Linked DNA regions of Struthio camelus. The protein of the gene in region 1 purifies or fractionates together with the protein of each later gene. This does not show direct contact. Links are inferred from orthologs where the notes say so. Each region holds a gene or a part of one and is shown in the gene's direction. Other genes may lie near its edges.

What was found.
Region 2: the proteins of LIN28A (region 1) and LARP4 purify together in Homo sapiens (affinity purification with mass spectrometry; 3 studies listed by BioGRID and IntAct, with this or other methods). This does not show direct contact. The link is inferred for Struthio camelus from reciprocal best matches to the Homo sapiens genes LIN28A and LARP4.
Region 3: the proteins of LIN28A (region 1) and RRP12 purify together in Homo sapiens (affinity purification with mass spectrometry; 3 studies listed by BioGRID and IntAct, with this or other methods). This does not show direct contact. The link is inferred for Struthio camelus from reciprocal best matches to the Homo sapiens genes LIN28A and RRP12.
Region 4: the proteins of LIN28A (region 1) and DHX57 purify together in Homo sapiens (affinity purification with mass spectrometry; 3 studies listed by BioGRID and IntAct, with this or other methods). This does not show direct contact. The link is inferred for Struthio camelus from reciprocal best matches to the Homo sapiens genes LIN28A and DHX57.

Annotation. Positions count from the first base shown.
Region 1 is NC_090964.1:7,062,437-7,070,298, reverse strand, and holds the start of LIN28A (protein lin-28 homolog A), read left to right. Parts: upstream 1-4,848; 5' UTR 4,849-4,864; coding exon 4,865-4,901; intron 4,902-4,999; exon of another isoform or gene 5,000-5,202; coding exon of another isoform or gene 5,203-5,233; intron 5,234-6,037; coding exon 6,038-6,216; intron 6,217-7,862. UniProt on the Homo sapiens protein: RNA-binding protein that inhibits processing of pre-let-7 miRNAs and regulates translation of mRNAs that control developmental timing, pluripotency and metabolism.
Region 2 is NC_090969.1:1,409,070-1,416,991, reverse strand, and holds the start of LARP4 (la-related protein 4), read left to right. Parts: upstream 1-4,919; 5' UTR 4,920-5,050; coding exon 5,051-5,068; intron 5,069-5,425; exon of another isoform or gene 5,426-5,565; intron 5,566-7,922. UniProt on the Homo sapiens protein: RNA binding protein that binds to the poly-A tract of mRNA molecules. Associates with the 40S ribosomal subunit and with polysomes. Plays a role in the regulation of mRNA translation.
Region 3 is NC_090948.1:16,970,218-16,977,512, reverse strand, and holds the start of RRP12 (RRP12-like protein), read left to right. Parts: upstream 1-4,293; 5' UTR 4,294-4,340; coding exon 4,341-4,479; intron 4,480-6,403; coding exon 6,404-6,639; intron 6,640-6,748; coding exon 6,749-6,832; intron 6,833-7,103; coding exon 7,104-7,180; intron 7,181-7,295. Other genes in the region: PGAM1 (phosphoglycerate mutase 1), read right to left, coding at 336-505, 634-814, 1,494-1,768, 2,797-2,935.
Region 4 is NC_090944.1:139,719,669-139,726,525, forward strand, and holds the start of DHX57 (putative ATP-dependent RNA helicase DHX57), read left to right. Parts: upstream 1-3,850; 5' UTR 3,851-3,907; intron 3,908-4,583; exon of another isoform or gene 4,584-5,020; intron 5,021-5,945; 5' UTR 5,946-5,954; coding exon 5,955-6,160; intron 6,161-6,857. Other genes in the region: MORN2 (MORN repeat-containing protein 2), read right to left, coding at 2,222-2,358, 3,365-3,471, 3,559-3,634. UniProt on the Homo sapiens protein: Probable ATP-binding RNA helicase.

The DNA of each region.
Region 1 (7,862 bases):
TGAGACCCAGGAGCAGAGGCTTTGTCCCCTCTCCCCGGCCCCTCTGCGTCCCCCCGGTGCCAGCCCGGCCCCCTCTCCTGCCCCTCGGCTCTTTCCTGCCCTGCTGCATGGGTTTGTCATTGGGGGGAGCAGGGCTTGAACCGGGCTGGGGGGATCTAGGGGGCGAGGAAAGGCTTGCAAGCCTTGATCTGCTCGAGGTTGCTGCCTCCGGAGAGGCCGGCCTCCGAGGAATATCTCTTTCAGCTATCGATTTCCCTTTATCAGATAGCAGGAATATGCATGGGGCCGAAATCCTGATCAATCCCCGCTCTCCAGCCAATCAATCAGCCGCTGCTGGCCGAGGGCTGTCATCGGAGGGAGCTGGGAATGCAAAGGGGAGAGGCTGAGTTTGGGCACGACCCATCCTTCCCGGCTGCGATCATCTCCCTCGCCGCATTTCTCATCTTCCCAGCTTGTCCAAAAAAATGCAGTGAAATCGCAGAAAAGCAGCGAAGCACGTTGGAAGGCAGACAGCAGCGGTAATCCCTGCTCCTCGCCCTCCTCGACTTTCGCTCACAAAGAGCCGATGCCCCCGGGGAGCGTCGCTCCCGATCGCGGCAGGAGGGGACGCGCTCCGGTGCCCGCGGCGGGGACGAGCTGCGTGTCCCCGAACGCGGGGGCCGGGGGGACCGAGCCGCCGGCGGGTGCCGGGGAGCGTGTGCAGGGCGGCGTGGGGAAGGGGGTTCCCGGTGGTGGCGGCGGTCCCGGGAACACACCTGTGTCTCCGGCGGGTCGATGCAGCCCCCGGCCCCGTTTACCCCGCGGCCGGGGGTACCTGACAGTTCCTCAATCACGGCCGGGGCTCATTAGAGGCGCTGAGCGGTGCAGCGGGCACTGGGGGAGCAGGGGGAAGGGCAGGGGGGAGGAGCGGCTCCGCGGCCTCCGTTATTGATTGCTCCGTAGCCAAAGGTCAGCGGCGTCCCTGCACGGGCTGGGGAGGAGGGAGGCGCTGGGGAGCGCGGGGCTGGCGGCCGGGGACCAGAGCCCAGGGGATGGGTGCCAGGCTGGGAGATGGGGGAGCCCGGAGAGCTGAGCCAGAGCAGGGAGCCCAGCACAGGCATCGGCCCGTCTTCCCCCTCTCCCAGCCCCGCGCGTCGACCGGTTTGCCTTACGCTCGGGGCTCCCAGCGTGCAGCCCCAGCATGCCTCAGTTTCCCCATCTGCAGATCAGGCCACGTCTGCCCTGTGACAGGAGCTGCAGGAGCCCCAGGGGCTGACGTGCCCCACGCGAGCCTGCGGGCGGGCGGGCAGCGCGCGCGGTGAGCTGTGCTGCACCTTCCCGGTGCGCGGAGCCGGTGATCGCCAGGGCGAGACCCCCACCAAGGGGCTCCTGGGCCCGTGGCGCGCTGATAACCCCGTTCCCCAGTGCCCAGGTCCCTCCTGCTCCCCTGAGCCCGTCCCAGCTCTGGCTTGCGGGGGAAAAGAGGACACCAGTCCCCGTTTTGGCCAAAGCTGTGGCTCGCCCAGCCGTGCACCCGGGTTGTACGCGCTGCCAGGCCCTGATCCCGCTGGGAGCGGGGAGACCCCTGCCCGCAGCCGGGCAGAGCGGGCCGGGACCCCCGGGCAGCAGCGCGTCGGGCACCCGCCCCGCCGGGCAGCTGGGCTCGCGCCGGCGCGGGCAGGGAGCGGGACGGGCGCACCGCGCTCCGGCGGGGCGCTCGCTTTGCTCGCCCCGGCCTTGCCGCGAGGGGGAAGATTTACAGGCTGTCAGAGCGAGGGCGAAAGGTCAGCAGGGGTCAGAAAGTCCATTTCGGAGAGGTCACTGTCCACTTCTTTCAATCTAATGAAGCCATTATTTGTGAAAGCGGCCGCTTTGCTGGCTGTTCCCTTGAAGCAGAGCAGAGCGCAGCGACGGGCTCTGAAAGAACAGGAAGGACTCCCCTTCCCTTTCACGTTCGCCATTCAACAGGCCCCGAAAACAAATACGCCACACACACAAATATTACGCGGGGCTGGGCTGGCTCTGCTGCGGGCTGTGTCGCAGGGGCTCGGCAGTGCCAGGTTTTATTGTAACGGGGAAGCTGCCGTGCTCAGGGCTGCGGCGCTGTTATAGAAAGAGCCGGTCACGGCGACCGGGCACAAATCGGCGGCCGTTGAGAAACTTGCCGCCAAGTTTGAACAGAATTGCAGGAAAGAGGCATCTGGGGCTGCCGGGCCCTGCGCCTGATCAGCTGCGAGAAGACGGGAAGTGGCTGGAGGGAGGAAGTCGATGCACAATGCTGGATTATTTTCCAAAGGATTAGTTTCACAGAAAGCGAGGACTGATTCCTTGCCACATCCTTCCCAAGCGAGCCGCCCGGCTGCTCTGCAGCTCTGCCCACCTCCGTCTGCCCTCTGCGTTACAGGATGTCCTGCCTGCCCCAGGATGCCCTCCGTCCACGGCGGGGTCCGTCCCCAGGCGGGCTTCCTGCAGCCGCTGGCGTTTCGGTGTCACCTCCACTGGTGGCAGAAGGTGCAGAGCTGTGGGGGATGCTTCTCAGGGCTGCTCGGAAAACCTTGATCCCAGCCCCACAAACACGGTGGGGGGGGGGAGTTGCCTGTTATCCCCCCCTGGGGTCTGGGCTTGCTTGCGGGCTTTTTCGCTTTACTGCTTCCAGGGGTGAAACAGGAGCAAAGCGCAGGAGCAAATTGTGCAGACGGTGTGTGTGGCACAACTGAAATTGCCCGGCAGGAAAGAGCGAAGAGGAGGAAACAGGAAAGGAGAGATGGGAGGAAAAGACACAGAAGCGTCTCCCTCAATTTTTTTTTTTTCTCCTCTCCTCTCTTTCTTTCTTCTTTCCTCCAAATTATCCCAAGCAAGCCAGCAAAAGGAGGACGAACCCGAGGCTGGCCTGCCGCTGCGTGGCCGGGAGAGGGTGCCAGAGGCAGCGCGGCGCCCGCCGCTCCCCGGGCCGGGCCGGGCCGGCGGGAGCCTCCAGCCGGGGCCGGGGGGAGCCCGGGGGCGCAGCGGGCTCCGCTCGGGCCGAGGCGGCGCCGCAGGGGCCGGTGCCACCGGGAGCCTCGGCCCGCGTCACTGCTCGGTAATAACCAGAAGTCATTAGTGTCCGGACCGCGCAGAATGAGAATGGGGGGGCGGGGGGGCTCGTTGGCGCGCCCGACGGACGCGTCCTCGTCGCCCCCGCGAACCCTCGTGGGGGGGTTGCCTTGCGGCTGGTGTGCTGAATCGGGAGGTTTGGCAGCTCCCGCTGCCCCGCCCGTCCCCGTGGCATCGGCCCAAAGCGCAGGGACAACCCGAGAACTTCCCTGAACCATTATTAGCCCTGCTGAGTGCTGATAACAGGCAATTCCTGTCTCCACAAGTATCTCTCTCTGGTTCATCTCCGCTGTGGCAGGTCGCAGCCCCCCCCCCCCCCCCCCCGTTTTTTTCCCAGGGCTGCAGACACAGGGAAAGAAAAAATGAAAAACAAAAATAAAAATCCGGCTGCTCCTTTTTGGCCCCAAACCTCACTTGTCGGAGCGCGGCGAAGCCTCTCAGCTCTGCCGGGAAGGGAAGGGGGGAGGCCGAGCCGCGGGGGGGCTCGGCGGGTCCGTCCTGCCCCCGATGGCTGTGCGGGCCAGGAGGAGGAGGAGGAGGAGGAGGAGGAGGAAGGGCGGGAGCCCCCAGAACCCTGGACAGGGAGCGGCGGCGCTTCAGCACCATGGCCAGGGCCGGCGGCGCGGACGCCGGGGCGGGCGGCGCCCCCACGCCGCGCGGGGGTCCCCACGCGGGATCGGGGGCCCGGAGGAGGGGGTGGGCAGGGTGGTCCCGCCGCCCCCCTAGAGTGCCCAACCTAGCAAGCAGGGTGTGCCCCGCTGCTCGCCGGAGAAACGGGGCCCACGCGGCTGGGAGTCCCGCGTGGGGCAACGCCGGGGCAGCGCAGATACGGCTCCCCACGGGGCGTTTGCGGGGGTGGAGGGGACTCTCCCCGTTTGCCCCTGCTTGGCTTGGAGGGGCGGTGCTGGGTGGTGTCGCCGTGGGGGCAGCCCACGCGTCGCCACCACCCGCCCGGCGGCGTGGGCGCAGCGCGCTGCGGGCCGGGCCGGGCCGGGGCGGCGGCGGCGGGCGGCGCTGTCCCTCCGCCGCCGGGCCCGGCCGGATGGCGAGCGGGGCATTGTCCGCTCCGCACTGGCCACCGGAAATGGAGGCGCTGGTCACTCGCCCTTTGTCCCCGCCCGGCGCGGGGGGGCAGCGGCCCGCGGCCCCGCGGGGGCCCCGCCACCCCCGGCCGCAGTCGCGGGCCCCGAGGGCTGCCCGGCCCGAGGAGGGCTGGGGGCGCAGCACCGGGGTGAGCTCAGGTCCGCGGGGGGCCCGGCCCGACGGAGCGCACGGCCCCGCCGCCGGCAAGCGGCCGCAGCCCCCCGCGGACCTGCGAGTTTTTCCCACCCGTTTGGGTTTTTTTTTTTTTTCCCTCTCCCCCCCGGGGGCGAAGGGCCCGCGGGTGCCCGGCTGCCAGGGCAGGATCGGCCCGGTTGTCCCGGGCCAACCCCGGCGGGTGTCCCCGGGGACCCCCGGGTCGCAGGTGGCTTCGCTTGCGCGGGGGTGGGGGGAAGCGTGGAGAAATGAGGGGGAAACTCCGTCCCCCCCCCCCCCCGGGGGGTCCCACGGCCTTAGCGCATCGGGGGGGGGGGGTCATTTCTTCGGCTTGACAGGTGGCCTCGCCCTGATTGGAGCAGCGGGGGGGGGGGGAGAACCTCCCCCTCCCCAAATCCCTCCCGGAATGTATCGCTATTAACGCGGAGGGGGGGGGGGTTAATTAGGGTCACGTGGGGGGGGAGGGCGGGCGCCCCCCGGGCGGGCTCGAACCCGCGGAGCGGCGGGGCGGGCGGCGCAGGGCCGGCGCGGCGGGATGGCGGAGGGGGGCCCCGCGCCCCCCGGCCCCGCGGGTGGGTGCCGGGGTGTTGCGAGGCGGGCGGGGGCGGCGGGGGCCGCTATTGTCTCCGAGAATTTGGGAGCCTTTGAAAAAACCCTCCCGCTCCCTCCCACCCCTATTGTTGGAGTGAAGATGGAGTCAAACCTCTCCCGGCTCCCTCCTGTCGGGGTCTAAGCTGTGGTTTTTTTTTTGTTGGTTTCTTTTTTTTTTTTTTTTTTTTTTTTTGGCTGGGCTGATACCCTCAAAGCTGGCCGAGGAGGAGGAGGGAGGAGGCGGTAACAGCCACAGCTCGGAATTTGCAAGCGAGTGTCGGGATGGGGTCTGTTTCCAACCAGCAGTTTGCAGGTTAAGTTATATTATTGTCGCAGCCCGCCTCGGCTCCGCGATTATTAATAACCCCATCGCGGCCCGGCCGCAGGGCCCCCGCGCAGCCCGGCCCGCTTGGGCCCGCTGCGCCCTGCCAGCGAGGCCGGCGCCCTGCGCCCTGCTGCCTCAGCTCTAGGGCTGCGCTTTGGGCTTTTGGGGGTTTTGTTTTGTTTTTTCCTTCCCCCCCCTCCCCGTCCCAGGATGAGCCCAGAAGTTTGGGGCTGACCCTGGATGCCGGGGTCGGTTTTGAACCGGGGGCTCCTGCTGTGCCCGGATGGCTGCTGATTTGGGAGGGGGGAATAGAGCTACTTTCTCCAGCGTGGTCTGCTGGGGACGGGGTGATTTCGGGTTGGTATTTTGGGGGAGATTTTCCTTTTTTGTGCTTTGTTTGTTTGTTTGTGGGGGTTTTTTGGGGAGGGAGGGATGGACTTAGGGGCTGCCAGCCCGGCACTGCCCGGGTCGTGCCGAAAGGAGCTGCTCTCCTCTCCTCGGGCTCCTGGAGCGATCCCTGCGCGCACACGGAGGCAGAGCTGATCTCTCTGTTTTGGGGATGGGGCGGGGTGCCTTTTCCCTGCATGCCAGCCTGCAGGACCCGAGCAGGATTTGGCCCCTCCAGGGGTGCTCGCTCCCCCCGCTGCCGGCTCCCTGGGGCTCCGGGGCAGGCAGGCAGCAGCCGTGCTGCGAGGGGAGGCTCGGGGGTCCCGGGGCCTGGATGGGGCAGCTGGCGGGGACCCTCAGCTCCCCCGGCCCCTCAGCTCAGCCGGTTCATGGGTCTGTCCCCAGGTGCGAAGACGGGCGAGGAGCCGGCGGGAGACTCGCCCAAGGCTGAGAACGAGCCCCAGCTGCTGCACGGCTCCGGCATCTGTAAGTGGTTCAACGTCCGCATGGGCTTCGGGTTCCTCTCCATGACCGCCAAGGGCGGCGCGACGCTGGACTCCCCTGTCGATGTCTTCGTGCACCAGGTACGCGGCAGCGGGGACGGCTCCTGCCCGGGGGGAGGAAAGGGGGTGCAGCCCCTGGCACCCCCAGGGGATGCCGGTCAGGATGGGGACCCCTATGCTGCCTCCGTAGGAGGCAACTGCCCCCCCCATGCCAGCATCCCCCGGGGGAGCTGGGGACCCCTCAGGCTTGGGGCTTCCCCCCCCCAGCCCCTGCCTCTCTCTCAGCCTGATGAGAGAGGGAGGGCAGGGACAGCGGTCGCCCCTCCGCAGCCCGGGTCTCATCTCCAGGGACCGGCCCTGTAAACTGATCCCGGAGCGATTTCATTTTCTCATCATGGTTCCCTGGGGAGCCCTTTAGAGCGGGGCGAGGGGCCCTGATCCGGGGGGAGCAGGTGCCCAGCGGCTTGAGAAGAGGGTGAGCGGCACATGCTGGAGGGGGGATGCTGGCAAGGGGAAAGAGCTGTCTGTTCTCCCCCCCCCCCCCCCCCAGCATTGGGTGCGAGATCCTGGGAGCCCTGAGCCGGGCAGGCAGGAGAGATGGGACTTTCCCCAGCTGGTGGCTCATCCTCGAGGGGGGATTTGACTCTGCTCGGGGCCCTGGGACGCTGGCCCTGGGAATTAGAGGAACAAAATGGTCTTTAACGCGGTGACGTGTGCTCGGTCCCCGTGCTGCGCTCTTGGGGGACAAAAGTCCTGCTGGAAACTTGCCCTGCTCCCCTGTATGGGGATGGAGGGGCACTTCCTAGCTGTGGTCGCCCCAGCTGCGGCTGGCACAAAGGCACGTGGGGTCGCACACGTGCCCCTATAGTTTCTATCTAATGCATATAACATATAGTAGCATATAGTAGTGACGGTCTTGTGTCGGGGTTGAGCTGCAAGCACCTTTCTGAGCAGAGAAGCCCCGCGCGCATCTGCTCTGTGATCCTGCCCCTGCGCTAAGGGGAATTGCCGCTTCGGGGGTGAAGGTGCTGCCTGCAGCAGCTGAGACCCGAGTCGGGGGGAGCTGGGGAAACGGGCTGGAAGACGGTGCCCAAATCGGGGCCATCGGGCAAGCACTGGGCAGCGCGGGAGGGAGACGTCGGGCTTGCTTGGAAACGTGGCTGCGCCGAACGCGCTGGCTCCCTTCTCCGAGAGCCCCGGGTCTGCGCGAGCCCCGTGGGAAAGCGGCGGCCGTCGGGGCTGGGCAGCACGGCGAGCGCTGGCCAAGGGGCACGGGTGTCTCCAGAGCAAACACAGGTGTTTTCCTTGGTGCGGTTGGGGGCAGCCACATGGGATTTGTCCCGCCTGGACTAATTTAGCAAGTGAACAAACGTGGGAGAGCTGCATCCCTTTTCCTTCATTTGCAGCATGGTGAGCCGTGGCAAGAAAACACCTTTTGTAGCAGCTACTATCCCGGACCCTAAACGTGGCTCCAGTTGTGAGCAAGGGCCCCAAATCGGCCGAGGGAGCGCACACAGCCCCGCTGTCCCTGCAGGCAGTCGCCGCAGCATCGGGTCCTCCCTGCAGGGAGCAAATGGGGCTTTGCATGTCAGTGCAATTTGGCGTGACCCAGCGCCAACCGGAGGAGTCTCCCCTGGGTCTGTTGCCCCCAGAGAGTCGAGGTTTCCGATTGCTCTTACTCGCGTTTCTGCAGGAAAAGGGAACAAGCCGGGCTGCCTCTGCCTGGT
Region 2 (7,922 bases), on another chromosome or scaffold:
CTCCAACGCTGTGTTCTTGCCTTGGGCCTCTTCTACTGTATAATAGCACATTTTAGAGTTCAAAACATAGTCTCCTTGCTAGGCTTGGTATTTATTGATATCAGAATTGTCATTCAAGGGTTGCTGATGAAACTTTTTACTCCTCTGCCTCTACTTCTATTCCTGATTCCCCCAGCCTCCTTCCTACCATGCCAGCCCATACAAAAGGCTTCAGCCTCCTCAGCTAAGGGGTTTCTAAACAGACATAGCTTCTCCCTTCAGCATAGAGGCACTCTCCTGTCTTCTTAGGACAGTGTCACCTATATCTAGTCCTCAAATGCTGTTAGTTGCCAGAGTCGAGTGAATTAATAAGGAACACAGCTCTAAGCTGGACTCTGAGCCCCTTTGAGACGTGCTGACAGAGGAATATATTATGCCTTGAAATGACTTGAAAAAAATGAACTCTAGAGAGGGAGAAGAGCAGGAAAAAGCGTCAGTTGTGAGCTGCCGCCCTCTCCTGAGATCTCTCCTCCTGCAATGAGGGCAGCCCTGGCTCTCCCATGACCTCTTTCTTCCTGCAGGATAATGAAAGTCAGCACCCTGTAAAGGCAGTCAGAAAGTCAGCTGCTCTGCCACAGGGTTAGTCCTCCAGATAGATGAAAGGAAAGTGGTTTAGTGTCCAAATGAATGTCATGGCTTTAAAGAAGAATTAAAGCCAGATGTTTCCAACAGGCCTGTTGAGGCCAGCCTTTTCTGGCATATTTACCAAGCCACCAAGGAGACCCAGCTAGTGTCTGCAGCCCTCCATTTTGGGAACACTCTGTAATCCCAGCGGCTCCTCTGCGATTGCTGGAGGCACGCTGGCTGTCCAGAAGGACTGCACACACGGAGCTGGGGCAGAGATAATGCTGCCAGCTCAATATTTATTCAGTGTTTGTCAATATTTATTCCTCACCGATAATGGTGATGACAGCAGGGGTGTAATAACCAGACAAAATTTAGCACCTTCTGCCTTTGAACAAAACACTGGGGCCAAAAGGTGGCTTAGCTGTGCTGGCATCAGCTCTAATTTCACTCAGAGGCTTGCAGGCACAAGGCAGCACACTATGGTTCAGGGAATCCAGAACATAGTCCCTGTCCCAAGGTCTAACTTCATACTCCTCAGATAGGCCTGGTGTTTATTTTAACAGGCGGGTAAAGCTTTTGCGGTGCAGGGACTTCATCAGAGCCAGGGAGAGCGCGTTATATTCTTGTCTTGCACAGGGCTTGATGTTTGTACTCAGCTACCTGGTTGAAGCTAAGGACCATTCAGGTGCAGGTAGAACAGATGTAAAATATTAGGAAAAAGGAAACTGAATCCTTGCCTTAGCGCAAGTCTGGGAAAGATCAACATTTCCTACTTTGCTAGGGAGTAACCTAAACCTCAGGACTACTGGGTGTGTGGTTCCAGCTCACACCCAGCAGTAATTAATCTTGTTGCCAGTGTAGCTGCTCCAGGCCCTCAGACTACAATAGCTAGTCAGAATAGGTTTTGTATTTTTGGGTCTGCCTGGTGGTTATAGCATTCAACTTTTGGCCTCTGAAGGACAAATTCCTGATGCTGTGCCCTCAGCATTGCTTTGAGGTGGAGTTTCCTCTTGCGAAATCAGCCGGTGCTGAAAATGTCCTGTTGGCTTTGAAGACGGGGAAAGGCTTTGCTTAGCGTTGCAGACATATGTGTCACACTCCTCATCTTCCTCCTGCCCCGTCCTGACCACTGGGATGTTCCTGCTCTAGAGTAGCAGACAGGATATGCTTGAGATCCAGGGTGCTGTTGGATCGCCGTCTTCTACTGGGGAATAAATGGCAAATTCAAAAGGCGCACCCTAAAGCAAGCGAAAGTAAATATAGCAGAATAAAGTTAGGGGGCAGGAAATCTAAATTTCAACTTTTTTTTTTCTGTTGGTGCCCACTCTAATAATCAGATACTTTGACATATAATAAAACTCTATAGCCTGACTCCACAAAGCTGAGCAAACGATTGCTGTAAAAAAGGAGCTTTGTACCATGCCATTTGTTCTCACAACGCTGCTTCATATTTCAGTATATACATCACGTTCATTCTGCTCTGGGACATTATGGACAGAAGTTGCAATTGTTTCTGCTGCAGTTCCAAAAGCAACTGTCAAGAGAAGGCCTTTGGGAGAAGAAAGGTGAGCCAGACAGCAGACTCCATGACAGTGCTGGATGGACTTCAAGAAAAACTTTGCCTCACCACCCTCCTGTAAGGGAACAGTAGATGGTGACTAACAGGAAAGAAACTTGACCATGGTGTTAGCACAAAACTGTTTGTATTTGCCTTCTAGATATGTATAGAACCTTATCTGATCATAGCATGTACTATACCCTGAATTGTATTGCTTCTGCACCCTTAGAAGACAGACAAAATTATTGTTATAAAAAATGAATTATTTAGTAGCTGTACAGATTGGCTGTTTTTCCACCCCATCTGCACTTTAAAGCCAGTGTGGTTACAGTCTGTAAGAACTCTGCCAAAATTGGAAATATCCTGACTGATGTCCACAGCACACCGACCACTTTATTGGCCAGGCATTTCAACTAAATGAGGTGATCTCGCAGGAGCAGCGCAGCACCAGCTTCAGGAAAATGATCTAATCTGAGCATTAACAATGATTTGCATCACATCAGGGCCCGATTTCAAAGGTCCTGAGCTCCTGTAGGATATCCAGGTATTCAGCATGTCTGAAAATAAGGCTCATAACTGCTTTGTGCGACAATTTCTCCATTGGTTTGATATCTCAGTATAAGGCAATGGGTGCACTAAAAATTAATGAGCAGATTCTGGAGGTAAAGAGCTCTGTAAAACAGGATAATACTTAACTGCTTCACAGGGGGCATAAGGATTAATGAGTTAATGTTTGCAAAGTGCTTTGAAGATGAAAAGTGCTAAGTCTTATTACATCTGGTGGATGAAGTAAATGAGCATGAGGAACAGGTTCCCAATTCCATCCTGTAACTACCAGAAACAAGGTCTCTCTCTAAATGTCATAATAAATAAGGCTCTGAAGGTGGTTTGCTCTCATACTGTCCCTCGCAGTTTATATTCAGAGCGCCCCTGGCATCGACAGGACAGAAAGAAGGGTTTCACGCTGATCCCACAGACTGCAATGGGTCACTTCCCGTTTACTTTGCTCCAAGTTATTTATTCTTTTACTCTAACTTGCTTTCTTTCATTCTTATGTGTATGTCTTGGAGATGCTGTTCAGGGAAACTCCTGCAGAATCTGCCAGCTGGACCATCAATTTATAGTACAGCTTGTGCTACAGTTTCTAATCTCTTTGATGGACCTTGATTACTTCACTGGCTGTAACTTAAACACTGCCATTGGCTAGACCATAATTGCAGGTAATACTGTTAAGCAGGGTCTGGGTTCCCTTGCTGGGCAAGTGGCAGTGTAGGAGCATTGTCTGTGAAGGCTCCAAAACGGTATCCTTCACCCGAACATCCATTACAAAATGTATTACTTCCTTAACAGAGTATTTCTTGATCATCTAAAATCCCCAGACAACCCAAAACCTCTTAAATTTGCTGTATAATTTCCGTGGAATCTTTCCATGTCCTTTCTCTGTTGTGCTAAAGCAAAATGGTTTCAAGGTGTTTTTTCCCCTGCGGAAATCCCCTTCACGGCACCATTCTCCAATGCAACCCCACGTGGCCCTGCGTAACGCCACGTGTGAGCTGTCTGCGATTCCCAGTGTGTTTGATGCTTTCAGTAGGTGAGATCTGGTCCTTTGTCTCTCAGTCCGATGCTTTAATTTGATGGCTCTGCAACGTTAATATTAAACGTGCAATGCCTAGCATTGGAGGTTCAAGTTCCAGTGGGCTCTACTGAGTCCCTCCTGTGTAGATGAACTGATTTTACGCTCTTTGGCCTAGATTTACAAAGCTACTGAAAGACATCAGTGGATTTATGCCCTTTCTATATTGGAACTGTCTGGAGGAAATCCTGTGTCCTGTGACATGTCTGGCTGGAGCCGAGGTTTCCCTCCTGTCCCCAGTGTTCCCCCACCCCGTCCCTGGTGGTGGGAGCCCTGGCAGCTGTCGCAGACCCTTCCCCGTCCGTGGGGGTCTGGTACACATGGTCTCTGCACTTGGCAAGGAAAGGCATGCCGCAAATGCGGGGCGCAGCCCATCCCATCCCGAACGTGCTTGCGCGGGTCTTCTCCTCAGATAACGTCTGTATCCTGGAATCACCCCATCGGTTTAACCACGCAAATGCCGCAGAGGGTGCCTGCGTGCGGCGCGGAAAGGGGGGTGGGAGGGGCAGGACGGGTGCAGGTCCCGTTATATTGTATTTCAGGGAACAGCCACTTCACCTTTGCGCTATTCAACAATGACACCTAGAGGCCGCGGAGGGACAGAAGCCAACAGAGATCGGCGAAAAGAGGCGGCCGGCGCGGTGGGCGCGAAGCCAAGGCTGCACCTCCGGCTTCTGCGAGAAATCCGGGGACTCCTCCCTCGCCTTAGGCTGGTGCCTTCAACGGGCAGTAGAGTGTTGGGGAAAAAAAAAAAACCCAGAAATATATCTTAATCTTGCCCGCTTCGCTGACACTCGCGTCCCCGCTGCGGGGCCGCCCGCAGCCGTTAACGGCCGCCCGCAGCCGTTAACGGCCGTTCCTGTCAGAGCGGCCGCGGGCGCGCGGCGGCCGGCGCAGCCCATTCCGAGCCGCGGGGGTGGGGGGCGGCTCCTCCCCCTCCTCTCTCTGGCGATGGTTCGCTCGCCCCCTCCCCCCCGGGCCGGCCTCCCGCCCCGCCCCCGCCGGAAGCGGCCGGCCGGCGCGGCCCCGGAAGCGCTCGGCGTGCCCCGGAAGAGGCGGCGGCGGCGGCGGCGGCGGCGGCGGCGGGCGGGGGGCCGGGCCCTGGCGGCACAGCCGGAGGCGGAGCCCGAGCGTCCTTATCACTGCTGGCGCTGGCGCGGCCGCCGCCGCCGGGCAGCAGCAGCAGCAGCAGCAGCGGCGGCGGGGAGCGCGGCGCGGGTCCCGGGCCCGCCGGCCTCGGCGCGGGCGGCGGGATGTTGCTGTTCGTGGAGGTGAGGGCGCGGCGGGGCCGGGCCCGGCGGGGCCATGTGGTGACAGGCCGCGCACGCCGCGCGGGCGGGCGGGCGGGAGGGGACGGGCTGACACAGCAAATCCGGGGGCGGCGGGGGGGGGCTCGGCGCTCTGGAAGGTTCCGCCGGCGGCGGCGGGTGAAAGGCACCGCCGTGACCTTCCGGGGGAGCCGCCGCGCCGCGGCCTGGCCTGAAGGTTACGGCGGCGCGGCCCGAGGGCGGCGCCGGGCGGCCTTCCCCCTCCCCCCGGTGCTGGCCCCGGTGCTGCCGGCGGGCTGAGCCTGTCCGCGGCCTCGGCGGCGATGATTTAGCGGCGGGAGGCGGGCGGCCCCGCGGGGCGGCGGCGGGGAGCCTCGGCTCGGCCTCGCCGCCGCCGCCGCTCCCCGGCCGGGCCGGCGCCTCGCGGGTTTTTTCTGCGCGATCCGGTGAAAGGCAGTTTCGGTATTCGCTGGGTAAACGCGGCGCCTTGAAACTTCGCAGTAAGTTTGGCCCGGAAAGCGCGCAAGGGCGGACTGCCCCGCTCTTAATTGTGATTAGGAAATTACCGATGAGAGTTAAATCGGCTTCCACTGCAGCGTTTAGCTGAGGCGCCGTTCACGAATACCAAAACATATAGCGCCGTTAAGAACTTGTAAATGAAACAGGTTGAGAAACACCTTTGCTTTTTTTGAGCTGATCACCTTAGTTTTGAAATATACATTATTTGACTCACGTGGAGAGGAGGGGAAAAAAAAGAAAAACCACGTTGTGACCCCAGCGTGGCAAGTCTGAAGGTTTTGGTTTCACAGTATTTAGCTGCAATAGTTCCTCTTCAAAGTTAATCAGAGCTGCTGCGGCCTCCCTCGCCTGAGCCCCGGCGAGGAGCCCGGCCTGCGAGACGCGTGCCCTGGCGCAAGGGGTGCGCGAGCGGCTCCCGGGATTTGCACGGCTGAACCCCAGCAGTTGGTTGGCGAATAGGGCTCCAGCCGCTCGCAGGAGGTTGCGGCGAACCGGGAGCGCGTGAAGCCAGGCAGCGCACATCTGAATATTTAGCAAATCCTTTTAAAGCCCCGACTTGATTTATTTTAGTTGCTTTGTTTGATCGCCTTCCTTCTCTTCTGCGGATAGTGTTATAAGTTAGTTTTTGTGATCTTCCTTCAGGAAGCGTTGGTGTTTAATTTTGAGGGCGATCCTGACTTGCTTTTTCAAGGTGCCTTTTCGCTGCCAGGACAAGGAACGCAAGCTCTTAACTAGGTGTTCTGAAATGCTGTAGTCAGACGCTGTAAAGTAATGGTGCCTTTTATCCTAGGATCTTTGGGGTCGTCTGAAAAATACGGTACAGAACAGGATTTTATTTGAAGCCCTGAAATGCTTTTGGATTAGCTGAGTTATTTTATCTGTCAGTGATGTATTTTATGTTCAACTGACATAAGCATGTGCTAATTGTGAATAGATTCCTTCATAGCATGCACAGTGGAATTCTGTTTTCCTTAAATATTTTTTTTAGCTAAAATATTCAGTATAGTGAGGGATTTGTGTAAGAGTCAGGTTATTTTTCATTCCTTAATCTTTAGTGTAGATCTTATCTTTTGCTTTCAGCCAGGGCCAGCATATTGTTAGCATTTAATGATAATTAAGGTGCATTGGAAGTATTATTAAATGTGTTCTGAGAAGTGTAATTGCTAATGGCTTACTATGCCTGCTCTGAGGTTTGGTTAGCTGAATGTGGGTTTCTGAATCAGAAATGTAATTATATTAGTGCCTTACAGGGACAGTTGAAATCCATGCATTTCAGATGGATGAGATTCTGCGCTAATTGTTGTCAGTGGTGTTTCCCAGTGAGAAAAGCAGGACTGTATGAAGCACTAGATGTTGCTGGCCCCTTTTCAGCATGTGAAGCTTCCTGTTTCACTCTTGGTGGCAAAAAAAACCCCAAGTACACAGTTTGTATGGGACTGTGGCATTGAACACTTAAAGCCAGACAAGTCCTGGTGGACCATTTTCTGCTTTTGTTGCTTCAGATGTGTTCTCTCTCATCAATCTCTTCCAGGAAATCCTGGGATAGCAAAGAGGAATTCATAAAACTTCAGTGCAGCGCAGTTGTGTGAAGTCTTTCAGCTCCTACAGTGGTGTCTCCTTCCACTGCAGCAGTGTGGGGGCAGAGCTGCCGGCTACCCGTGGGTCCTGGCCTTTGCAGACCCTCCGGGGGAGGGGAGGAAGCAGCCTTAGCAGAGGGGAATTTTAGGGAGAGCTCCTCTGACCCCTCCTGCATCCAGGAGCTGCAAATAGCAAGCAATGTGGGGCAGTGACACAGTTGAGGGTGGTGCCATCTTCATCTGGCACAACTCGCACAAATGAGCATGCGCTTTACCTAGCGATAAAGGAGCCGCATTCTAGTTCTGGGGTGCTCGTGTTGGCTAATGAAAAAGCATTCTGTATTCGATTAAAGTAGTTCTCTTGTAACCATTAATGTTCATGCACGTTTTGAGAATTACCTGGGATGCTCAGAGTACTGAATAGTTTTTACATGATGTGCTGCAGTCAGGTCAAAAGGAGGTCCGATTGCTGCATTTGGTTTGAAACCAGAATACCTTAAAACAAACTCAGAATGTTTTCATTTTTGTTGGCTTAATTGGTTCTGTTAAATGTAATTTAGGCTTTTAGGAAAAATGTTTCTTTGCTGTCCTTTCAAGATGAGACTGATGCTTCAATAGTCGGTCTGGAGGAATTTTTGGAGGAGCAGCTTTGATGCACGTTTGTCGAAAGTAATGTAATCTAAACGGAAGCCCTGCTGAAGAGGACAGCTTTGTCAGCGCATGGATACCCATGAGTGTTCCTAACCTTTGTATCTCTGTAA
Region 3 (7,295 bases), on another chromosome or scaffold:
AAAGGAGCCAGGCAGGAGGAGGGAATGCTTGGAGCACCCCCTGCAGATAAAGGCCTGAGGGCTGAGATCTCATGATGCAGAGACGTGTGCAGTTATTGCCTGGCAGAGGTCAGGGCTCCCTTTTGCACCAGACTTCCTTGCACCAGCTCAAGACCATGGGCTCCCAGGCTCTCTGCAGAGGGGAGCCTGGTCCAGAGGGAACGGGCCTAGTCCTGGGGAGCTGCTCCCTGCTCCAGCTCTGCAGCTCCAAGTTCCTACAGCTGTGGGGTGTATGCACAAATGGGTGGGGGAGGGAGGGGGACTCATCTACTACTCGCTAGCCTGCACATCTGCCCTCACTTCTTGGCCTTGCCCTGAGCAGCGACAGCCTCCATGGCCTTGCGCACTGTCTCCTCATCCCCCAGGAACTGCATGGGCTTGATGGGTTTCAGGTTCTTGTCCAGTTCATAGACAATAGGGATCCCAGTGGGCAGGTTCAGCTCCATGATGGCCTCTTCCGACAAGCCTATGAACAGAGGCACAGTCACTCTCAGGGAACCAAGCACAGCCACAGGCCATGCAAGGGAGAGCTCCCTGCTCACACGGTCCTGGGGCAGGGCCGGAGCAGTGGGGAGCCACGCAGGGCTGACATACCTTCCAGGTGCTTGACAATCCCACGCAAGCTGTTGCCATGGGCAGCAATAAGGACTCGCTTTCCCTCTTTGATCTGTGGGACTATTTCTTCATTCCAGAAGGGCAGGGCCCGGGCAATGGTGTCCTTCAGGCTCTCACATGTTGGCAACTGGTCCTCTGTCAGGTCAGCATAGCGACGGTCCTGCCGGAAGAGCCACTGTCACACAGCAGCCCAAAATCCCTGGCCGCTGCTGTGCATCTATCAGTCAGGGGCTCAGAGGCAATACCAGCTGGCAAAGCAGCTGGAGGAAGTGATAGCAGGGCCCTTATTCACCAGCACTCTGCCCAAGGACCTATGTAAAAGCAAAGCTGGGCTTGCAGCTACACACCATCAGGGTCACCGTTGGTGTGACCAGAGAGCAAACAGGACAGGGGCACTGCAGGCTAGGAAACGTCTTTGAGGTAAACTTTGAGACTGCACTCAGCTAGGCCTAGGGAAGACAGCACTTCACACACTCTAGTCTCTATGCACAGCAAACATCCAAGCATTGGTCATGGGACTAATAATTAACACGAATCCCCTTGAATCAGTCTGTGCAACGCCCAAGGGTTCAATCTCCTCAGGGACAGCACAGGGTGAACTGAGCTCAACGCCATCCATCACCACGTTACAGTGACAGACACCACCACAGAGGTAGAGGTGCAGAGGAACAAAGGGCAGTACCAAGAATGCCCCACAAAGGAAGTCAGATCCAGCACCGGCAGCTCCCTTTCTGAGAAGAGGACCAGCCACAGGGCTCCGAGTACCCTCCAGGCTGCTTTTAGCTCAAAGGCTCCTAGGCCAAGGAAAGGAGGCAGCAGCCTGGGAAAACATGCCTTACCTTGCTGATGGTGCTGTAGAAGGGGTGATCTGGCTGCATGGGAGGTGGGGGGATGTCATATGAGCGCCTCCAGATCTTCACCTGGGCCTCTCCATGCTTAGCAGCTGTTTCAGCCTTGTTTAGGCCAGTGAGCCCTCCGTAGTGCCTCTCATTGAGGCGCCAGGTCCGGACCACAGGCAGCCACATCTGGTCAATGGCATCCAGAACGATCCAGAGGGTGCGGATCGCCCGTTTCTGCACAGAGGTGAAGCAGATGTCGAATTCATAGCCAGCATCTGAAAAAGATCAGAGCCACAGACATCAGAGCGCAGCACCACACGGCAAAGGCAGGAAAGAGCAGCATCTCTCACCCAGGCACCAGGCCAGCACTCCCACCCTTGCTGCTGTGAAAGCTGAACTGTTGTTTCAGTCATTCAGCTCACTACTCCATGCACAGCCAGTGCTCTTTGCATTCAACTGCAGTGAGCAAGCTCTGGAAAACTCCTAGCCCTTTTTCTCTGTGACCTGGAAGCATCCAAAGTCAGGAAAAAAAGCTAAAGTACATTTGATGGAAGAGCCCATGGCTCGTGCCATCAGGCCAGAAAGAGGATGTGCACCTCAAGCCAGTAAGTCTAGAGGATGAGGCTCCCCACTCGTGCCCGCCAGCGCAGCCCCGCATACCTGCGCCACGTGCACACCCCACCACACAGTCGAGCTGCGCCTGTCAGTGGCACAGCAGCAGCTTGCTGGAGTGGAAGGACATGGCGCTTACGTAACCAGAGGGCTGACGGTCCAAGCAGCCAGGGCCTTCCGCCCCAGCGCCTGGCAAACCCCAGCCTCGGCAGGGCCGAGGGTGCGCAGGGGATGCTGCAGGCACCGAGGGCGGGGGCAGGCACGGGCTAGCGCTCGCCACCTCCGCGGGGATTTACCAGCCTCCCCCGCAGCGTCAGCGCAGGAGCCGGCTCCGCCCAGCGCCGGTGTCGCCGAGCCAGGGGCCGGGGCCCGGAGCCGGCACCGAGGGCTCCCATCCTCCCGCTCCCTGCCCCCCCACCCCCAGCACCGCCCCCTCTACCGGGGCGCACCGGCCCCGCCGCAGCCCTGCCCGACCCCAGCTCTTAGGCGACCTCGCCGCTCGCACAGGCACCGACCGAGCACCAGCCCCCGGCCCGGCCGACCCCCGCCGAGTACCGGGACGAGTGGCGCGGCCTGGCGGCGGGGGCGGTGACTCATCGGTGCGCCACCCCGCCCGGCAGAGATTCACCGCACCGCGCCCCGCCGGCCGCCGCTACCGGCAGGGGCGGCTGCCGCCCCCCGGCGCCCTCACCTCGGAGGGCCTCGCCGCCGCGCTGCGCCTCTTGCTGGCCGGCGGGGCTGAGGTCGGCGTCGTACCAGCCGCTGAAGCGGTTCTCCAGGTTCCAGGCGCTCTCGCCGTGGCGGACAAGCACGAGGCGGTAGGCAGCCATGGCGGGGCAGCTAGGACCGTTAGGACCGTTGGGCTCGAGGCGCTCCGCTCACCGCACGCGCTCCTTCCGCTCCCGCCGCCGCGCGCGACTGAGGAGCCCCCGCCCCGCCGCGGCCCGCGCATGCGCGCTCGCGCGCCGCTGTGGCGGCCCCTCCCGTCGCCGGCTGAGGGCGCGCCTGCGCGCCGCGGCGGCCGCCAAAGGCGCACGTAGCGCATGGCGAGCCCGCGAAGGGCGGTGCGACCTTCGGCGGTCGTGACGTCGCCGCCGCCGCCGCCGTAATGTCGGGCACGCGGCGCACCCGGCAGCCGTAGTGCGCAGAGTAGCGGCGCCTCTACTCTGGTGCTGCCTCCCGGCCTGACTCACCCTCACGAGGTGGCTGCTCAGGGTGGCTGGAGCAGCTCTGTGCAGGCTGCTGCCCCGGGCTGCCTGCAGGTTCAGGCAGATGCTGCTGCCGGGGGGGTGGCTGGCTGCACTCCAGGCCCAGCCACAGGCTCTGCACACACGGGGCTCCGCTTGGGAGCCAGGGGCTTGCAATGTCCTTGCGGATGCTGCACTGAGACTGTCTCATCTGGTTGTACTTGTACAGCTCCTTGTGGAAAATCTCATGCTGCATGTGGTGCTTGCTCAGCTCCTGGCAGCCAGGGCAGGGATGGAGAGGGCAGGAGCAGAGCAATGGGGAGAGCAAAAAAGCAGTAAAACCCCCTTGTGGCAGGGCTCTCCTACTCTAACTCTAGGAATAGAGTAGGGTCTAATGGGTGAGAGACAGGGAGTGAAGTGGGTCTGGACTCCCGGTTCCCATCCCACATCCAGGAGGAGGCTGGAGCCCAGGGGGACAGGGACCCCAGATGACCGGGGCACTGTGCCTTTGCTGGGTGGGCAGGCAGCCATGCTGCTGGGCTGGGCAAGAACCACTGCACCAGCTGCTCCTCTGGGTGCACGTTGAGGGAGTACGGGGCCACTAGCCTTTGGGGTCCAGAAAGCCTCAGTGCCCAAAGCCAGATGAGGAGGCCTTTGTTAAAGGTGGCAGAACAAGAGGCTGTGCCCCATCCAGCTCCCCAGGACACTGATACAAGACTATCCTGTCTCCAGCCCATGCAAACCAGGCAGAGCTTGCATGCGCCACACCAGCCCCCATCCTGGTCCCAAACTGCACGGCCCGCGCTTCTCCGGAGGCTGCCGCAGCTCTGGCTCTCTTCGTCCCCTTTGGTCTCCCACCCAAGCGGTAACCGGGCGCCACCCTGCTCAGCTTGGCTTGGCAGGCGCCGCTCCCCCGCCCACCCCAAAGGCGTCGCCACAGCCCTGTGGGCACCCTGCCCTCACTTAAGATGGTGCCGGGCGCCGGAAGTGGGCGTGCGGCCGGGCCGGGCGGGAGCGGGGGGGGGGGGGCACGTGTTGCCGGGTGAGCATGGCGAGGTGCGGGCGGCTCCGTTCGGGCGCCGCCGCCAAGCTGAAGCGGTGGCGGAAGGGCCACAGCAGCGACTGCAACCCCGAGACCCGCCGGCACCGCCTGGCCGCGCGCAGCCGCTTCTGCAGCCGGCCCGCGGGTGAGGAGCTGGGGCCGGGGCTCAGCCGGGGCCTGGGCCTGGGCCTAGCGGTCGGGGGCTGGCGGGGGTCAGGGTCAGGGGCTGGCAGGGGTCGGGGGCTGGCAGGGGTCAGGGATGGGGGGCTATCGGGGGTCGGGGACTGGCGGGGGTCAGGGTCAGGGTCTGGCAGGGGTCAGAGGCAGGCAGGGGTCGGGTTGGGGGTCTGACAGGGGTCGGGGGCTGGCGGGGGTCTGGCAGGGGTCGGGGTGGGGGGCTGACAGGGGTCGGGGGCTGGCAGGGGTCAGGGGTGGGGGGCTATCGGGGGTCGGGGACTGGCGGGGGTCAGGGGCTGGCAGAGATCAGGGGCTGGCAGGGGTCGGGGTGGGGGTCTGACAGGGGTCGGGGGCTGGCAGGGGTCAGGGGTGGGGGGCTATCGGGGGTCAGGGGCTGGCAGAGGTCAGGGGCTGGCAGGGGTCGGGGTGGGGGTCTGACAGGGGTCGGGGGCTGGCAGGGGTCAGGGATGGGGGGCTATCGGGGGTCAGGGGCTGGCAGAGGTCAGGGGCTGGCAGGGGTCGGGGTGGGGGTCTGACAGGGGTCGGGGGCTGGCAGGGGTCGGGGGCTGGCAGGGGTCGGGGGCTGGCAGCAGTCAGGGTGGAGGGCTGGTGGGGGTCGGGCGCTGGCAGCAATCAGGGGCTGGGGGGGGGGTCAGGGTTTGGGGGCTGGCTGGGGTGCGGGGACGGGGCTGGACCTGTTTGCAAGCTGGGGATGGGAAGGCCGAGCATGAGGCAAGGGGTCTGTGTGGGGTGGGTGGGGGTCGGAGCCCTGCTGAGGGAGCCCGGCTCTTTGGGGTGGGCAGCTCCTTTGCTGATCTGTAGCAGCTCCTGGCATTGCCTGAGCCTTCCTGGGCTTGAGGTGATCCTCTGGCTGGAGGTGGGACTGGGCTGGCACTGGGAGGTGCAGGGGTGGGCTGGCTGCGGAGCACCCCATCTGCTTGCCTCAGCTGGTGGGTGCTGGGGCATGGTGTGAGGGGGTGAGGTCCTCAGTCTTCCTCTGCACAGCCAGAGCCTGGCTGGTGCCTTAGGATGAGACCTTGGGTCTCAGGCTTCTGAGATCCTGTGGGTTGGGGCAGGCCCTAGCGCCAGGACTGGAGAAGGAGAGCAGAGAGTTGCTCATGTGCCAAGCTCCTGCCCTGGGAGGCAAAGAGAAAGCACAGAACTAGGAGGAAAATCATCTGTACAAAAGAACAAGATTTACCCTTGTTACCTTCACCATAACACTGCATGTGCAGGCTTGGAGTGGCAACATGCATCTCGTGCTCCCTGTGTAGGCATGAGGAACATCCTACAACAATATCTGTCACCCTGCCTAGAGCCTAGTGCAAGGCCCCAGCTGGAGCCACCAGGAGCTGCTGCAAGGCAGAAGACATAGCTTCTCAGCAAAGTAACTTCGTAATGTCCCAGCAGCTTTGGGACAGAAATGATTTGGGCTTCCAAAGGCATAAGGCTGTGGCTGTAAATGCTGCGGTGACACCTGGTGCAGAGAGTGAGCGTCAGGAACAGGATACTGACTCCTGTTCTGCGAACCGCACAGCCAGGGCTCCTGGCTGAAGATGGGTGGAGCAGGGTATGAGGAACATCTTGCCATTAAAGCCTTGGCACGCTGAGATGTGTTTGTGAGAGTCTAATGCTCTCCTCTGTTAGAGGAGATGGCTGGACTGTGTTCTGATTTGTTGTCACAGCGATAGGAGCTCTCTTGAGTTACTGCTCTGTCTCCTCTTTTCAGCGTGGAAGCAGCAGTCGCGTCCCACATGCTGGAGATAGCTCCAGCAAGGTTTATCTGGCTGGGAGGGCAGAAGAGGTGGAGTACATAGAGATTTCCAGGCTGTGTGTTAGAACAAGGCTGGCACAACGTGACTTAGCTGAGCATGCCTGTTTGTCTCTGGCAGAGAAAAGCAACTTGACAGTGGATGCGGTGAAGCTGCACAATGAGCTGCAGTCAGGGTCCTTGCACGTGGAGCAGACGAGTGACAGCGCTCAGCTCCGCATGGAGGAGGAGGATGATGGAGAGGCTGCCACGGAGAAGTCCTCTGGCACCTTCCTGAGTGGACTGAGCGACTGCACCAATGTCACCTTCAGCAAGGTGCAGCGGTTCTGGGAGTCCAACTCTGCTGCTCACAAAGAGGTACTGGGAGGAGCAGGGCTGTGTGTGGGGATGGCCCACCGGACAGTCGGGCTCTACTGCAGCCCGTTAGGCCAAGAGGACTGACCTGCTCCTCTTGCTGCTCACCTAGATCTGTGCTGTGCTAGCAGCTGTGACGGAGGTGATCCGCTCACAGGGGGGCAAGGAGAGCGAGACGGAGTACTTTGCTGCCCTGGTGAGTGACTGTCATGGCAAGGCGGCATGGAGGGAGTCGCTGTGGGCAGCCCAGATGTGCATGTGGTGACCTGTGCACTTGGGAGGGTTGGTGGTGGAAGGTGCTGTGCTCATATCTGAAAGGCCCTCAGTGTCCTTCACCAGCAGAGATGCTGCTGGGCTGCTCCTGGCGCTCTGCTTGCTGGGCTTTGCTGGCTGCTGCGGTGGGGCTGGGGGGGGGCTGGCCTGGATGCGAACCCTCATGTTCTTTCTCACTCCTCCTCTGTTTCCAGATGACCACACTGGAGGCAGTGGAGTCTCCCGAGTCGCTGGCTGCTGTTGCCTACCTGCTCAACCTGGTCCTAAAGCGGTAAGTCCCCAGTAGGGGGGAAGGGAAAGATGCCCAGGCCCCTGGCCCTGTTTTGGGAAAGAGGCTGGCACGGTCTCCCCACTTCCTGTTTGGGGGAAGGACTGGACCCTGGCAG
Region 4 (6,857 bases), on another chromosome or scaffold:
ACGAATTACCAGGAAGCAGAAACTTCCCAGTCTAGACTAAAGTACCTGCCTTAACTTTCTTCCTACATGGTAGCCCGTAAAAGTTTTGACTTACAAACTAGGAAGACTTATGAAGCACACAGGTTAGACAGCCAAGCTATATATTCCTTCCTTTGCTTTGCAGAAGTGTATTTACACCAGCATCTTCCCAGCATGTAGCCTGTACAGGAATAGTGTCATAGTCCTGGTCATGATTTGAGGTCACTGAGGCTCAAGTCTTGTGAAGTTTATCCTGACTTTCATTAGGGGCATCCTAAAAGTGTATACCTGTATGCAGCCATTTACTGTGTGATATTATTGCTGTAAAAATCATCTACTCTTACTCTTTCTCCAGCACTCTCTAAGTGGCATTATGACAAAGTGCAGGGATTTACAGCCTCCTGTGGGGAAAAAAATGTAACTGCCATGTGATTTCACTTCTTAAAAGGCATGTATTTCTGCTGATCTTTGAAAGCTGTGATCAAACTCATAATAATACCTGAAAACCGCTACAAAGAAGAAATGTCTATGCAGCAATATCCCTTGCAAATGAGGAAAAAATAACTTTTAAAACCAATTATTGGAGATTTGTTTCCCTTAAAAAATAAATCCACCTAGCAGTCAGAGCTCGTTGCTATGGTGCTGCCTATATCGTTCTCCCATAAAAACTGCAGTGATCTGGTGAACTGACACCTATCTTGTGCGAGTAGGTGGAAACTAGCAGACCTGAAACTTGGCTGAACAGCCAACATTAGGCTGTCGGGATGCAGCGCGTATTAACGATCACAAATCAATGTCAACAAAGAAAAAATTTTGATTCCCTGAGGAAAATGGCAGTGCAGGTAAAGATGGGGTCTCTGCTGCAAAGCAGGGTATGTCTGCATCCGCATTTTAATTTAGATCACAAGTTTGAATCAGCACCCGCTGTTTTGCTCTGCAGGTCAGCTACTAGTGACAAGTACTGTGCTGGCCCTTCTGTGCTGGGCTGTATTTTTCCCACGAGAACAGGGGCGTCACCCTAATTTTCTTGAGAGAAAATGCCTGTAAAGCTACGTATGTGATCTCTTGATGAATATGCTCAAAGTGATGGTTATTTACGATTCTAGTACTCATGCAGAGGTCAGATGGCATTTAATGTGACAGCAAAGACAGAAGGTCTTTAGCAGATGTTAACATGCCACTGTAATAGTGGCATTATTTAATTGAACTAGATGTGTTCTGAAGCATTGAAGTAAATGTCTTTTTCCTCAAACAACAGTTTGAGATTATACAGGTTTCCATTTTGTATCCAACTACGTTCTGCTAACATGTATTGAATTTGGTGTCTGGTCATTTAAAAGCAGAATTGGTCATGCTTCTAGTACTGCTGTGGGCTATTCAGCAGGGCAAGATCGGGCTGTTTTCTGGTGAAAGACTAGCTATTGCCAACACATACACATTTTAGATTGATTTCACATGTGGGACTAGGGAGGGACTTAAACCTAAATTGAACCTAGCAAATTTGACAGAGAAGTCATTTGATGAGAATAAACATGAACACCCTGATGTCATTTTTTACAGTTAGCTTTCTCATTAGATCTGTCTTGTGGATTATAAAGTGGGTATCAGCTTTTTGTTTTAGGAGAAGATGGTATCTTAGCACTTCAAAACATACACACACACACGCTTACTCAACAGAAATGAACTCAGCTGCTGCTTTATATGAGAGTCCTTAAAACTTTTGCTTCCGAGTGATAAAAATAAGCCTCCAAATTTTCCCATCTCTATGGGATTTTTACTTTATCTCAAAAGTAAGTAAACAAAAAACTTCACAAGCAACTGTCAGCACAAATCAACACTATATTTCTTTATGAGTCTGCAGGCAGACAGCTTGAAACACTAACTCTGAAATGGATCTGAACTGTTCTGTTCCTCTGAACTGCGTGCAAGCCCAAAGACTTGGTAACAAAATAAAAGGTGGGTGGATGGGATAACTGTCTTGAAAACTTCTGACTGGGAGAGCATCATGGATTTTTGACTGATCTGACGAAAAGCATACAACTGAGATCATTGCACTCAGAGACCGGTGCAAATTTCCTGGTACCAAAAAAAAAAAAAAAAAAAAAATCGACTCCTGTGCTGGATCAATGTTAGTTGGCCTTTAAACCTTACAATTTGAAACTAACGGAAGAGACTGTGTGACTCTTTTCAACTTTAAACCTACTTGTTTTCATTGAACGGTCCAATGTACTTTGCTCCATTTGGAAATGTGTAGGTTCCTACTCCATGAAACATGTTGTCTTTGAACTCGCCTTCATAAACTGCCCCCGAAGGATGTTCCAGCCTTCCTGTGCCATTCATCTGCGTTTAATGAGAGTTGGAGGATAAAGAAAAGGAGGGTTAATGTTTATGTTTACAGTATTATTTCCTTTCACTACAGTATTCTTCCAGATAACTGAAACCTGAGTCTGCTATCATACTCAGATAAACGGAGAGGACAGTGACTGTTCTTTCAAACTTAGTCAGTTCCTGCTTCTACAGGGACTTCAGATACAGCTTAGAAGTTTTTGGCCAACCCCAGTGCCCAGTAAACCCTTCCTCTGATGGCAATGTCACAGGATCTTCAGAATTTACGCAGCCAGGGAACTGCTGTCTCCAGCCCTACAAATAACTCACCTACCCTGACAGCCTGAGGGGCTCATTAAGTTTTCCAGCATTTCTTTCGGTGGATCAAGGCAGAGTGAGCCTTTCGCTTGTTCACCCTAGGCCACGAAGCCATCCCTTGGGATTTAAATCCTTTACAGCTCATTTGTACCATAATCTTAACTCTTACTGCTGCGCAAACGTTTTTGTAAGAGACTGAAGAAAAGGGCAGACTGGATCTAAAACAGCCGCAGGACACCGTTTCCTAATTTCAAACCCTTGTTTGTCTCGTTCCAGGGCTGTCTCCTCTCCGACACCAGCAAAACCCAACGAGTTTCCAGTCCTTGCTGATTAATTCCTGGCGAACCCAGCGACGGCGTGTCTCCTCCAGACCAGCGCTCCCCTGTTTCGTTCCGGGAGGTGCGCCCGCGCCGAGGCGGCGAGGCCCTGCCTAACCCGCGGCGGCCCACCCGAGCGGCGCTTTCGCAGCGGGTGAGCCGCGCCGTGGGAGGCCGCCCGGCGGGCTCCGGCTCCGGCTCGACGCCGCCGGCGGCCTTCAGCTCCGGAGGCGGCGGGATGTCGCAAGCCGCCGGACGCCCGCGGGCTTCCCTTTCCGGGCGGCGGAGCTGAGGCGTCGCTCCTCTCCTCGGGGGCGCCGGCTGCCTCCCGCTTCGCCACGCGCCCGGGGGGAACGCGTCCGCCGCGAGGACCCTTCGGGACCCACCTTGTCGTTCTGCCAGCGGCCCACGTAGGTGAGGCCGCCGGGGCTGGTGTGCACGCCGTGGCCGCTCCTGCGCAGCGCGCCCTCGCCCGTCCTCGCGCACTCGCCCTCTGCGGACACGAGGTGCGAAGGAGGGAGCGGGCGGACGGCCGAGGCCGTGAGCGCCGCCGCCGCCGCCGCCCCGCCGGAGCCCTTACCGTACGTGTCCTTGTTGGGGAAGACGAAGGACACCTTGAAAAGCGCCGCGCCTGCCGGCGAAGGGAAGGCGGCCATCACTGCGGTGACCCTCCCGCCCTCCCCTCGGCGGGAGGACCGGACAGGCACAAAGGCAAAGCAGACCAAGCTCTGTCCCAACTGCTGATTTTTCCTTGTTTAACTAATAGGGTGGTTTTTTGGTTTTTTTTGTTTTTTTTTTGGGGGGGGGGGGGTTGTTACCGGCCATGGTTGCTAGGCGGAAGTGTGGGCGGTTGCTAGGGAGCTCGGCGACCCGGAAGGGCAGCGCGGGCGCTTCCGGGTCAGCCGGCCGGGGCCGAGCCGGCCCGAGAGGTAGGGAGGGAGGGCGGAGGCAACCATCGGCCCCCGGGAGCGTTTGTGGGCCCCGCCAGGAGTGGGGAGGGGGCTGCAGCGGGGTCTCGGGGGGGGGGGAATGGAGGGAGGCGTTGGGGGTCCCCAGAGGGGTCTGGGGCAGGAAGGGGGGTGGGGAGTGGGGGGGGTGGAGGGAGGTGTTGGGGATCCCCAGGGGGCAGGAAGGGGGGGGAGGTTAAGAGTGGGGGGTGTGCAGCAGGGTCCCTGGGGGGTGGAGGGAGGTGTTGGGGATCCCCAGTGGGTCTGGGGGAGGAAGGAGGGCCGGGATTGAGGGGGTGTGCAGCAGGGTCCCTGGGGGGTGGAGGGAGGTGTTGGGGGTCCCCAGTGGGTCTGGGGGAGGAAGGAGGGCCGGGATGGGGGGGGGTGTGCAGCAGGGTCCCTGGGGGGTGGAGGGAGGTGTTGGGGGTCCCCAGTGGGTCTGGGGGAGGAAGGAGGGCCGGGATTGAGGGGGTGTGCAGCAGGGTCCCTGGGGGGTGGAGGGAGGCGTTGGGGGTCCCCAGTGGGTCTGGGGCAGGAAGGAGGGCCGGCACTGTTGGGGGGGGAGGTGTTGGGGATCCCCAGGGTGTCAGGGGCTAGGAAGGCGGTTGGGGGGACAAGCGTGGCGGCCCCTGTGGGGTATGGGTGGGAGGAGGAAGGAGGCTCCTGGGCCCACGGAGGGCAGCATTCGGCCACAGGGCTGGGTGGGCCCCCGGGGCGGCCCTCAGCAGCACAGGGTGGTCAGACAGCCCAAGGAGGTGGGTGAGGCTGTGGTCCCTGGTGAACACAGGGGGACGCTGGAGTCTGTGGAGGGGTCACGAGACAGGGTGCCCCCGGTGTGGGGAGTGGTGCTGTGCTTTGCCGTGGGCTCTGTGCTGTGCATCGAGGGGAAGGAGACCCCCAACCCTACCTGGCAGCGTCCCTGGGGACCGCTGCAGTGCCTGTGACTAGCTGCAGTAGGACATGCTGCCCACAGTCCCCCTCAGTTGCACCAGGCTGCTGTGTGCACGTTCAGGCCCTGAGTGGAGTCCACTCCTCTGTTAAAATCCTGCCTAGTCCTGGTTGATCGCCAGCGCAGAGAGCTGCTACAAAAAGGAGGTTTGCTTCTTTCCAAGTCTAGAGCTGTTGCCACTCTCGGAGCCCTCATTTGAGCTGTTGCTCATTCATGGCTCCGTTAGTCCTTGTCCTAGCTCTGGCGACCCCAATGCAAAGATCTGGGTAGTAAGCCCTGCCGGACCGCCCGGAGCTGCTCGCCTGTGCCCGCACAGCTTCCTTTTTGCAGGAGCGTAGTGCAGTCAGTATGCAGCTGGGGCAGACGTTAGTGTTGTGCCGTTCTGTTGTCGCTTGCAATGATGGCTTTAAACGTAGGGGCCTGTTACGTCAATGCCGCTGAAGATCCCGCTGTGGGAAGGAGAGGAGGGTCCCTGTTTTCTGGAAAAGGTCCATAATCGTCTCCTCTGCCCCGGGCTCCACTGAGCATTCATCCATCTGGGCAGCCTCGTGCAGAGGGGGAATGGGTCAGGAGCAGGCTGATGTGGAAACACATTGGATTTCTGACTTCAACTTCCCTTGACCTTTCGCTCCCAGCCCTGCAAACTCCGGAGTGGAAAAGTGGCAGGGCGCACCGTGCTCTCCTCTGTGAAGGTCCCCCCAAAGTTTAGTCCTTTGCTCACCTGTATCCAAGGAAATCCCATCAGGGAGACAGAACTGGAGTTCCAGGGCTGGACAGCAGTGCTGCTAGGCTCAGTATTTTTTCAGAGGCCCTGCGCTTCTTGCTTAGAAAAGCTGTGAGGGAAAATAGGATCCCTTTTGTTTTTTAAGCTGAATTTGTTTAACAACGTTCTGGAAGAACGTATTTTACTTCAAGGGTGTACAAATAATGAGAACGGGTAGGTAGTTAACTGCAGTTTGAGAGGGAATCCCCTCTTGTCATATGGAAAAAACAACTGAAGTAGCATGTACCAAGTCCCTTGTGGCACGCTAAATCATCCTCATAACTGAGCGGCATTATTTTCTTCTCCAGCAAGACAACATGAGTTCAGCAGGGAAGAGGAGAGGAAAGCCCAACAGAGGAGGAGGAAGAGGAAAAGGAAGAGGAGGAGGAGGAGGGAGAGGAGGAGGCAGCAGCAGCCGCCATTCAAACAAGTCTCAACTTGGTGGAAATAGGAAATGTTCAACAAAACTTTGGGACGATGGAGATGATTTTTGCCTCTTCGAGGAACCAAGGCTGGAATCCAGGTTCTTCCATTAATTTGAGGGTATTTGCTGCAAAGGTGTTTGGGATATTTTGGAGCTGCTTTTTGGACGTTTTCGAATGTGCAGAAGTGCAAAGGGATGCTTAAATATTCAAGCTAAAGCTGTTGCAGTGTAAAGCTACTTTAACATGTCTGTTCTAATTCGCGTTGTTAACCATTTTGTAGCTATGAATGGTTTTTTGGTTTTGTTTTTTGTTTTGTTTTCGTTTTTAAGATTTGAACCTCTCTGTTAATTTTCTTCCTTGCCTGAAAAGTAATTTCAGAGCATCCTTGATCAGAACACACTAGTAAACACAGGATAATCATTTTGGGGTGTTACAGAGGTGAAGTTGGACTGTGGAAAATAAACAATTTAGAATAAATTTGTTGAATGTCCTGTAGCCAGTCAGGCCCAGAAATACTTGCTTGTACTGTAGTCTGAGCTCACCTTTATCTAGCAAAGCATTTATTAGCTCAGTATGGACTTGGCATAGGATAAAATGAGTGTATGCATGTGCACAGACACCCTGATCATGTAAAGATGAACCTAACTAAATGCTCTTTAGATGACAGAAGCGTCTTATTTTAGTTTTCTTGTTTAGAAATACAGGGCTGCGTCCTAAAGTTCAGCTTCGCTTATCTGTTCAGTCCACGTTATTTCAGCCAGGCAAATAACAGTCATTGTTTTGTTTTATTTTTAT